Danio rerio: one gene and its partner. The protein of the gene in region 2 interacts with the protein of the main gene of each other region in a pairwise test. Links are inferred from orthologs where the notes say so. Each region holds a gene or a part of one and is shown on either strand. Other genes may lie near its edges.

Region 1 (4,604 bases), on a different chromosome or scaffold from region 2:
AGTAAAACAATGTTAAATTCAAGCGTTTATTAGCATAAATACGTTCGAACCTTACCTGCACACTCCAGTCCAGACCTCACATTCACACAGCTGCTCTTCAGATTCACTTTGGTCTCGTAGTCTCTTCTGGATTCACTTTTGTAAAAAACAAAACTTCCATCGATCCACAGGTCACACCAGTTTAGTTTCCAGCGTTTGAGGACAGAAGCTGTTTAACAAAAACTTAAAGTGATTAATTATGTCTCCTTTACAGACCAGCTGATCTAAGGAGCCAACATAACTGTTCAACGTAATGCCAGAAAACTGGCTAATTCATATATATATATATATATGTATGATTTTATGCATACGAAAACATGATTTTTTTAAAGGATCTCTAAACCAATAATCATTCAGTGTAAAAAAAATGTAGGGTTTCACACAATTCATTCATTCATTCATTTTCTTTTTGGCTTAGTCCCTTTATTAATCAGGGGTCAACACAGGAATGAACCGCCAACTTATCCAGCATAAATTTTTATGCAGCGGATGCCCTTCCAGGTGCAACCCATCACTGGGAAACACCTATACACTCTTGTGTTCACACACATAAACTACGGCCAATTTAGCGTACCCTCAAAAAATCTGCTGTAAATTTACTCAAGCCAATTCAGAATATAGTGACTTTTTTCTTCAGCAGAACATTAAAGAAGATTTTTTTTTTTTTTAGATAAAACTGTGGTTCTTAATAATAAATAAATCAACCTTTACAGGCACTTTAAAGAGAAGCAAACATATATAAGCAAAACTAAAGTTAAACCCGTGGCTCCTGATACCATCAAGGTGTTTGTTATGAAGTGAAAAGATAAGTCTGAATAAGAAATTGAATATTATTTTCAACATTATTACATTTGTAAGTGAATTCTGTTTGTCCCCTGATTTTGTCGAGGTTATAATGTTTCCATAGAACATTTCTTGCCTATTTTTATACACAAGAAAAAAAAGTGGATTTAAACGTTATATTTTGCAATGCTGAGTTTTGTTTTTTTAGAGTTTGGATGAAAATTCAGAATTAAGAACTTTGTTCTTGGAATTTGTTTTGAGTTATTTTAATACTACATTTGCTAACAAAATGGGACAGTTCACCCAAAAATTTCAATTCCGTCATTACTTACTCATCTTCCACTTTTTCCAAATTCATTTCAGTTTCTTTCTCTTTTGAATACAAAGGAAGATACTATGGAAAATGTTGGAAGCTTCTATATGTTTTTTCCATATATTTTATGGATGTCAATGGCTACCAGTTACCAACATTCTTTCAAATATCTACTTTTCGGTTCAACAGAAAAAAGCTACTCATATAAATCCGAAACTACTGAGTGGATATGTATTAAATAATTTTCCATTTTTGGGTGAGCTATCCATTTAACTTATTGATAATATAGTTAAAATATAAAAATAGTTTTATACCACATGTAAATGCATTTAGAGTGCACTCCATTGACTGTAAACACATTGATTCTTAATTCTCAGAATTACGAACATTCTAAAGTACATTTTCATGACATTATTTTTTGGTGGGAATCATTTTACATTTTTAAATTACATTTTGATATTCTCCCTTGGTCAGTTGCGTGTGTTTTATTATAGCGAGCACACAACAACAAACTGGACATTCAGCTAGCAGCTAATGTGCACTGTAACACTGACCGTAAGAGGATTATTGCTAACAGTGTCAGGCCTGAAGTTTCATAACAGACCTTCTGGAACAGTACTCCTCGTCCTTTTTTTAATTAATGTATTTAAGTGTGTGTGTATATATAGGATTTTTCCAATTTAGACCATTTAAATTTCACAGAATTTGCAGCCAGACACTTCTAAAACAGCATTTGTGCTTTTGACCATCTATATTTTAATATAAATATAAACATTAGGATTGCTTCTTCCTTAATTTGTGTCCCTAAAAATGAAACTCCCATGGTCACACTTTATTTTAAGGTACAATTCTCGCTATTATCAAACCATTAAAGATGGCTTTTAGCTTAGTGAACTCCTCATTTGCTGCTTATTTATAGTTTATTATATAGTTTAATTTATTATGCTATCGGTTGGGTTTGGATTGGATTAGAGATATGATCATGCAGAATATGTACTTTATTGGGTGGTCTAACCCAACTAGGACGCGATCCTACATTAACATCTATGTTGGTCCTGAAACATCATTTTTTGTTTGAAAATGTGCTCCATACATAATCTTTGCCCCTAAACCCAACCCTAACTGTAAATTATTCCCAAAATTAGAGGGTAATAATATTTGCAAATCCTCATAGATGCACGTAACTCTAACTATTAGCCTAAGCTTAACATAAACTGTAAATGTATCCCTAAATTCTGATTGGCTGATTGAAATGTTGTTCCAGGATCAACATAGATGTTTATCCAGCAACATGTTCTACTTATAAACAGGCAATTTTTGTTGCCAGTAATACTGTGTAATTTACAACTTCACTTTAAATGAACAATTAAAACTGTGCTGTTTATTAATTATTAATTTACAGTGCGCTTGTATATTTGACAGTATTACTGGCAACCAAAATTGCCAGTAATACTGTAAATTTTACAGCATTTTCTGCTGTATACTTAAAGTGTTTCCATTCCTCTGCTATCCTTAATAAGATTACAAAACTCTTCACATAAGCATTAATAAACAAATCTTCCACTTACACTGTCTCCAGAGCCAGCCGGATTTGAGCAGAGCCATCATGAGCCCTGGCCAGTCAGACACCACAACAAAAAAAAAGCAATATTCCCAGTGTTGTGCTGCAGGTCTGATAAGTGTTTTGTTTGTAACTCGGCGATGACTGTTAGTCGTCTCAGCCTTCACTCGGCTTTTGTAGAGCTGGAATAGTTTGATGACTCTTCCTTTAATCCCTTAAACAGGCCAAAGTGACCAGTAATCTCAGATTAAAGCACAGTCTGAGTTTCTACTAGTTGTCTGTGGAATATTCGCTCCCCTTTTGTGTGTTTAACTTCATGCTTGTGTGTATTTTTGTGCATTAAGTCTACTTGTTCACATTGAATGATGAGTATGCATGCTCACACTTAATCTTAATCTCCATATACAGACTGACCTAACCATAATAAATCGACTTTTTGCAATTATTTAATGCCTTCGTAAACTCATTCAATTGGATGTCCTAACAAAAGAGAGTCTAAGTCATTCTGTTGGTATAAAAAAAGGTTTGTTGGTATATAATCAGGGTCACATGCTAATCTTTAATCTCCCCTTTGGCTAAATTTAGCAAATGTTAAATAACTGGAGTAGTTATATCAAGCTAGCTATTTTTAAACCATTGAAGTAACCGACCTATAAACACATTTATCACTGAAACGTGTCATGCTTAGTCATCACTGCATGACGGCACTAGTTTTATAACCCAGGAATTGCCCTTAATCTTGAGCGCTATAGATCATGTTAATTTGACTGGTTTTCACAGTCAAAGGGCCTGAGTGTGTTAACTTTTGTTTGTAATATATTAAGCATCATTATTATGGTGTATTAAGTGTCATAGTTTTAGAAATGTGTGTTTTTGCTAAGCCTGATTATTAAAAGTATATTTAAATCATCATATATAATGTTTACTTATTATTTTAAAATGATAATTTTTTTATTATTATTATTGTTATTTTTTATTATTAATAAAAGTAATTCTAAGATAATAATGTAATTATTATTATTATTATTATTATTGCTATTGTTAAAAAAGAATAATGACTTATTATTATTATTATTATTATTATTATTATTATTATTAACAATAGCAATAATAATAATAATAATAATTAATAATAACATTTAGCCCCATAGTATATTTAGAAATGTACTTGTTGCAATGCATGGTAATTTTAATGTATTTTATCTATATTAATATCAACTACTGTTATTAATATTGATCATTTATAATCAACGTTGGTAAAATCAATACACAATGAATGCTAATTTCAAATAATGCTATTTGTGATACTGAAATATAGCAGCAGCAACAGCTATAATAATAATAAAAAATAATAATAACAACACATTTAGTTCCATTGTACACTTATAAATGTATTTATTGCAATCCATGGCCATTCATAAATGTATTTGTAATTATTTATAATCCTACTGCTACTAATAATAATAACTATTAATGTTACTATAACCAATACATAAATAAAATATTATTTTGCATAATATTATTTATTATCCGTAAATACAGCAGAAGCAACAGATATAAAAATGGTATTAATAATAATAATGGTAATAATAATAATAATAATAATAATAATAATAACAACAACAATAATAATAATAATTATTATTATTATTATTATTATTATTATTATTAATAATAATAATAATAATAAAATCATTATTATTATTTAATTACGTATTTTATTTATATTTGTATTTATTTAATGCATGGTCATTTACTGTTATTTAATGATAATAAATCATGTTTATTAAGTATTTTGCTAGTAATAATTGTTAGTTAAAAGTATTTATTATTATTATATTTTCCAGTATTATTATTATTATTAGTAGTAGTAGTAGTAGTATATTTTCTATTATTATTATTATTTGT
Region 2 (3,835 bases):
AATTTTAAATATGCCAACAAGTGTTTTAAATACAACAATAAACAGTTATTAAACAGTTAAAAAAAAAGAGTTTAAGAGAATGGATTTAGAAGTCAGCAATTAAGGTTAAATTAAACAATTAAACTGGATAAATGAGTGTGCAAAAATAAATATCCAATATCAATCTAGGTAAAATATCCAATATTAATCAAAATCAATCCAGATAAATACAGCTGAAAATATAGTGTATGTTTATTCATTCATTAATTTTCTTGTCGGCTTAGTCGGGGTCCCCACAGCGGAATGAAAAAGCAAGTTTTTACGCAGCGGATGCCCTTCCAGCCGCAACCCATCTCTGGGAAACATCCACACACACACACACGCACGCACGCACACACACACACACACACACACACACACACACACACACACAAACACACACACACACTCACACACTACGGACAATTTAGCCTATCCAATTCACCTGTACCGCATGTGTTTGGACTGTGGGGGAAACCAGAGCACCCGGAGGAAACCCACGCGAGCGCAGGGAGAACATGCAAACTCCACGCAGAAACGTCAACTGGGCCGAGGCTCAAACCAGCTACCCAGTGATCTTCTTGCTGTGAGGCGACAGCACTATACTGCGCCACTGCTTCAGCCCTTGTATGTTTGTAAATATTTAAATATATTGTATTTTAGTGTATGTTTTAAATATGCCAAAAAGTGTTTTTAATATAATAATAACAAACCAGTTATTAAATATAAGATTTATAAAAGATCTGAATGGATTTAGAAGTAAGCAATCTTAAGTAAGGTCATCTAAAGAAAAAAAACTGGATAAATGAGTGTGCAAAAATAAATATTCAATATCACTCTAATAAAAAATAAATAAATCAACAGCATTCTATTTACTTCATTACATTTTTGTAAAAAAATATGCTTTTTCAAATTTACTGAATGCATGAATAAACTCAGCTGTCTCTATAGTTTAACTGCAATGGTTATGAATCACCATGAAAAATGTCTTGGAGGCGCTGCCATACCTGCTTGTTATTTTGAAATGTTGTGTGGCAGTGTACGTGATGCTTATGATTGTGTTTCAGAATCTCTCAGCGAGGCCCTGAAAGGCATCAGTGTGAGCACAGAGCTGGTGGAGGAGGAGCTGAAGCCTCATCTGGATGTTCTGCTCAACCTGCTATTAGAGAAGAGTGAGTCTACAACATTAACTATCCCTCCTCAGTCTATTTATACACCACTGTGTGTCATTCCCAAAAATCCATATTTCTAAACTAAAGCAACGTCAAATTCTGGTGCCATCACCTTTTCAAGAGCCTGTAAAAAGCTGTCAAATAAATTGTGATTATAATTTTTGTGATATAAACACATCTTATGTTTATTCATTCATTCATTAATTTTCTTGTCGGCTTAGTCCCTTTATTAATCCGGGGTCGCCACAGCGGAATGAACCGCCAACTTATCCAGCAAGTTTTTACGCAGCGGATGGCCTTCCAGCCGCAACCCATCTCTGGGAAACATCCACACACACATTCACACACTCATACACTACGGACAATTTAGCCTACCCAATTCACCTGTACCGCATGTCTTTGGACTGTGGAGGAAACCGGAGCACCCGGAGGAAACCCACGCGAATGCAGGGAGAACATGCAAACTCCACACAGAAACACCAACTGAGCAGAGGTTCGAACCAACGACCCAGCGACCTTCTTGCTAGCTGCTGGCTTCTCTATTACTATAGCTGATTATCCATGTGGATGGATGATAACAGCCTTCTGAGCCTACCAGTAGGTGCAGAAGGCCCATACTGGCCCATATCTATCAGCTGATAACCACTGATGATGCCTATTCAATCGAGTGATATCATTCGAAGCAAGTGCAGATGGTTTGAATCCAAAAATTACAATTAATGCTGCTATGATCTATCTATCTATCTATCTATCTATCTATCTATCTATCTATCTATCTATCTATCTATCTATCTATCTATCTATCTATCTATCTATCTATCTATCTATCTATCTATCTATCTATCTATCTATCTATCTATCTATCTATCTATCTATCTATTTATCTATCTATCTATCTATGTATCGTCAATCAATATGAACATGTGACTAACATTGATTAACAATTAAATTCTATAAATCAGAATGTGGTTGAGAAACACTGGTGTAATGTGTATATATAGGAGACGCGGTGGCGCAGTAGGTAGTGCTGTCACCTCACAGCAAGAAGGTTGCTGGTTTGAGCCTCTGCTGGGTCAGTTGGCGTTGGAGTTTGCATGTTCTCCCCGCGTTCGCATGGGTTTTCAATGACAATGTGGTACAGGTGAATTAGCTAGGCTAAATTGTCCGTAGTGTATAAGTGTGTATAGATGTTTCCCAGAGATGGTTTGCCACTGGAAGGGCATTCGCTGCGTAAAACACATGCTGGATAAGTTGGCGGTTCATTCCACTGTGGTGACCCCCGATTAATAAAGGGACTAAGCCGAAAAGAAAATGTGTATATATATATATATATATATATATATATATATATATATATATATATATATATATATATATATATACACACACACACGCACACACACACACACACATATACAGATACACACACTCTGCTTGTTGCTCCTATTTCTCTTGGTTTATTATCTAAACCTCATACATCTAAATCTACATCCAATTCAGGGCCATGAACCTTACAAGAGCCCATAAAAAAGACCTCATCTCACCTAAAAGTGACGTATGTTGTTGACAGTAGCCCTACTGAGCAAGGCCATCATTTAGTGTTGCTCTCATTACAGACTCATCCTGCTGTGAGCTGCTATTTGCTTCTTCCTCCTTGAAGTTGTGTGTGTGTTTGTGTGTGTGTGTATGTTTAAGTGTGTGGGAAGACAATCCAATGTAGGGGGCAGCAGAGGGTCAGCTTATCTTCCTGACAGCAGATTTGGGGCACAAGTAGGAGACGAGTAATCCGCATTTACATTCGAGAGAGGGAGAGAGAGAAGGCGAAGGATAGAAAGGGTTAATCTCATTAATCTTTCTCTCCTTTTCTCCATTTCGCTCCCCATCTTCTGCTCATTCCGCAAATTAGTTTGCACCAGCTGTCCGTTCTTGGCTCGTCACTTGTGCTTTCGGATCGCGATTGCATCTAAAAATGGAAAAAGCAGCCTCCGCAAAAGAACACAAAGTAGATGTTTCCATAGCAGCTCGGCTTCCTCTGACAGCTTGACCTGCCATCGTGGCCTTTCTGGATGTTTTTTTGTCTTAAAGAGAACATTCTATAGTGACACATTTCCTCATGCTGGCAGCTCTGTCTCAGGAGCAGATCCTTGTCTTCCACTTTGAATGTGAACGGATTACTCTGAGGCCTTGCTGTCAGAGCAGCTCTGAAGTGCACGGTACAAAACCTGATGGAGGAGATGAAAGAAAAGGTGAAGCAACAGGAGGAGCGAGCTGAAAGAATGCGTGGTTTGAAATTGATTTGGCATCAGTGGAAAACAGGGAAAGCTTTGTTAAAGCTTTGTTGAAGCATTCATATGGTTTTTCAGTCCATCAAACAGAGCATGCATTCTGTAAAATATTTCACAAGACTTATCACAAGACAAAAGGTAAATGCAAAATAGACATTCTAGGTCAGGGGTGTCCAATCTCGATCCTGGAGGGCCAGTGTCCTGCAGATTTTAGCTCCAACTTGCCTCAACACATCTGCAAGGATGTTTCTAGAAAGCCTAGTAAGAGCTTGATTAGCTAGCCCAGGTGTGTCTGATTAAGGTTGGAACTAAACTTTGCAGGACACCGGCCCTTCAGGACCGAATTTGGACATGCCTGTT

What was found.
Region 1: the proteins of si:dkey-191g9.5 (region 2) and plekhb1 interact in binary tests that used the Homo sapiens proteins (3 or more experiments, as listed by UniProt). The two-hybrid records come from large-scale screens. The link is inferred for Danio rerio from reciprocal best matches to the Homo sapiens genes RAP1GDS1 and PLEKHB1.

The regions. Positions count from the first base shown.
Region 1 is NC_133185.1:41,791,829-41,796,432, forward strand, and holds the start of plekhb1 (pleckstrin homology domain-containing family B member 1), read right to left. Parts: upstream 2,851-4,604; 5' UTR 2,744-2,850; coding exon 2,704-2,743; intron 209-2,703; coding exon 56-208; intron 1-55.
Region 2 is NC_133188.1:24,892,937-24,896,771, reverse strand, and holds part of si:dkey-191g9.5 (rap1 GTPase-GDP dissociation stimulator 1-B), read left to right. Parts: intron 1-1,085; coding exon 1,086-1,190; intron 1,191-3,835. UniProt on the Homo sapiens protein: Acts as a GEF (guanine nucleotide exchange factor) for the Rho family of small GTP-binding proteins (G proteins) that stimulates the dissociation of GDP to enable subsequent binding of GTP.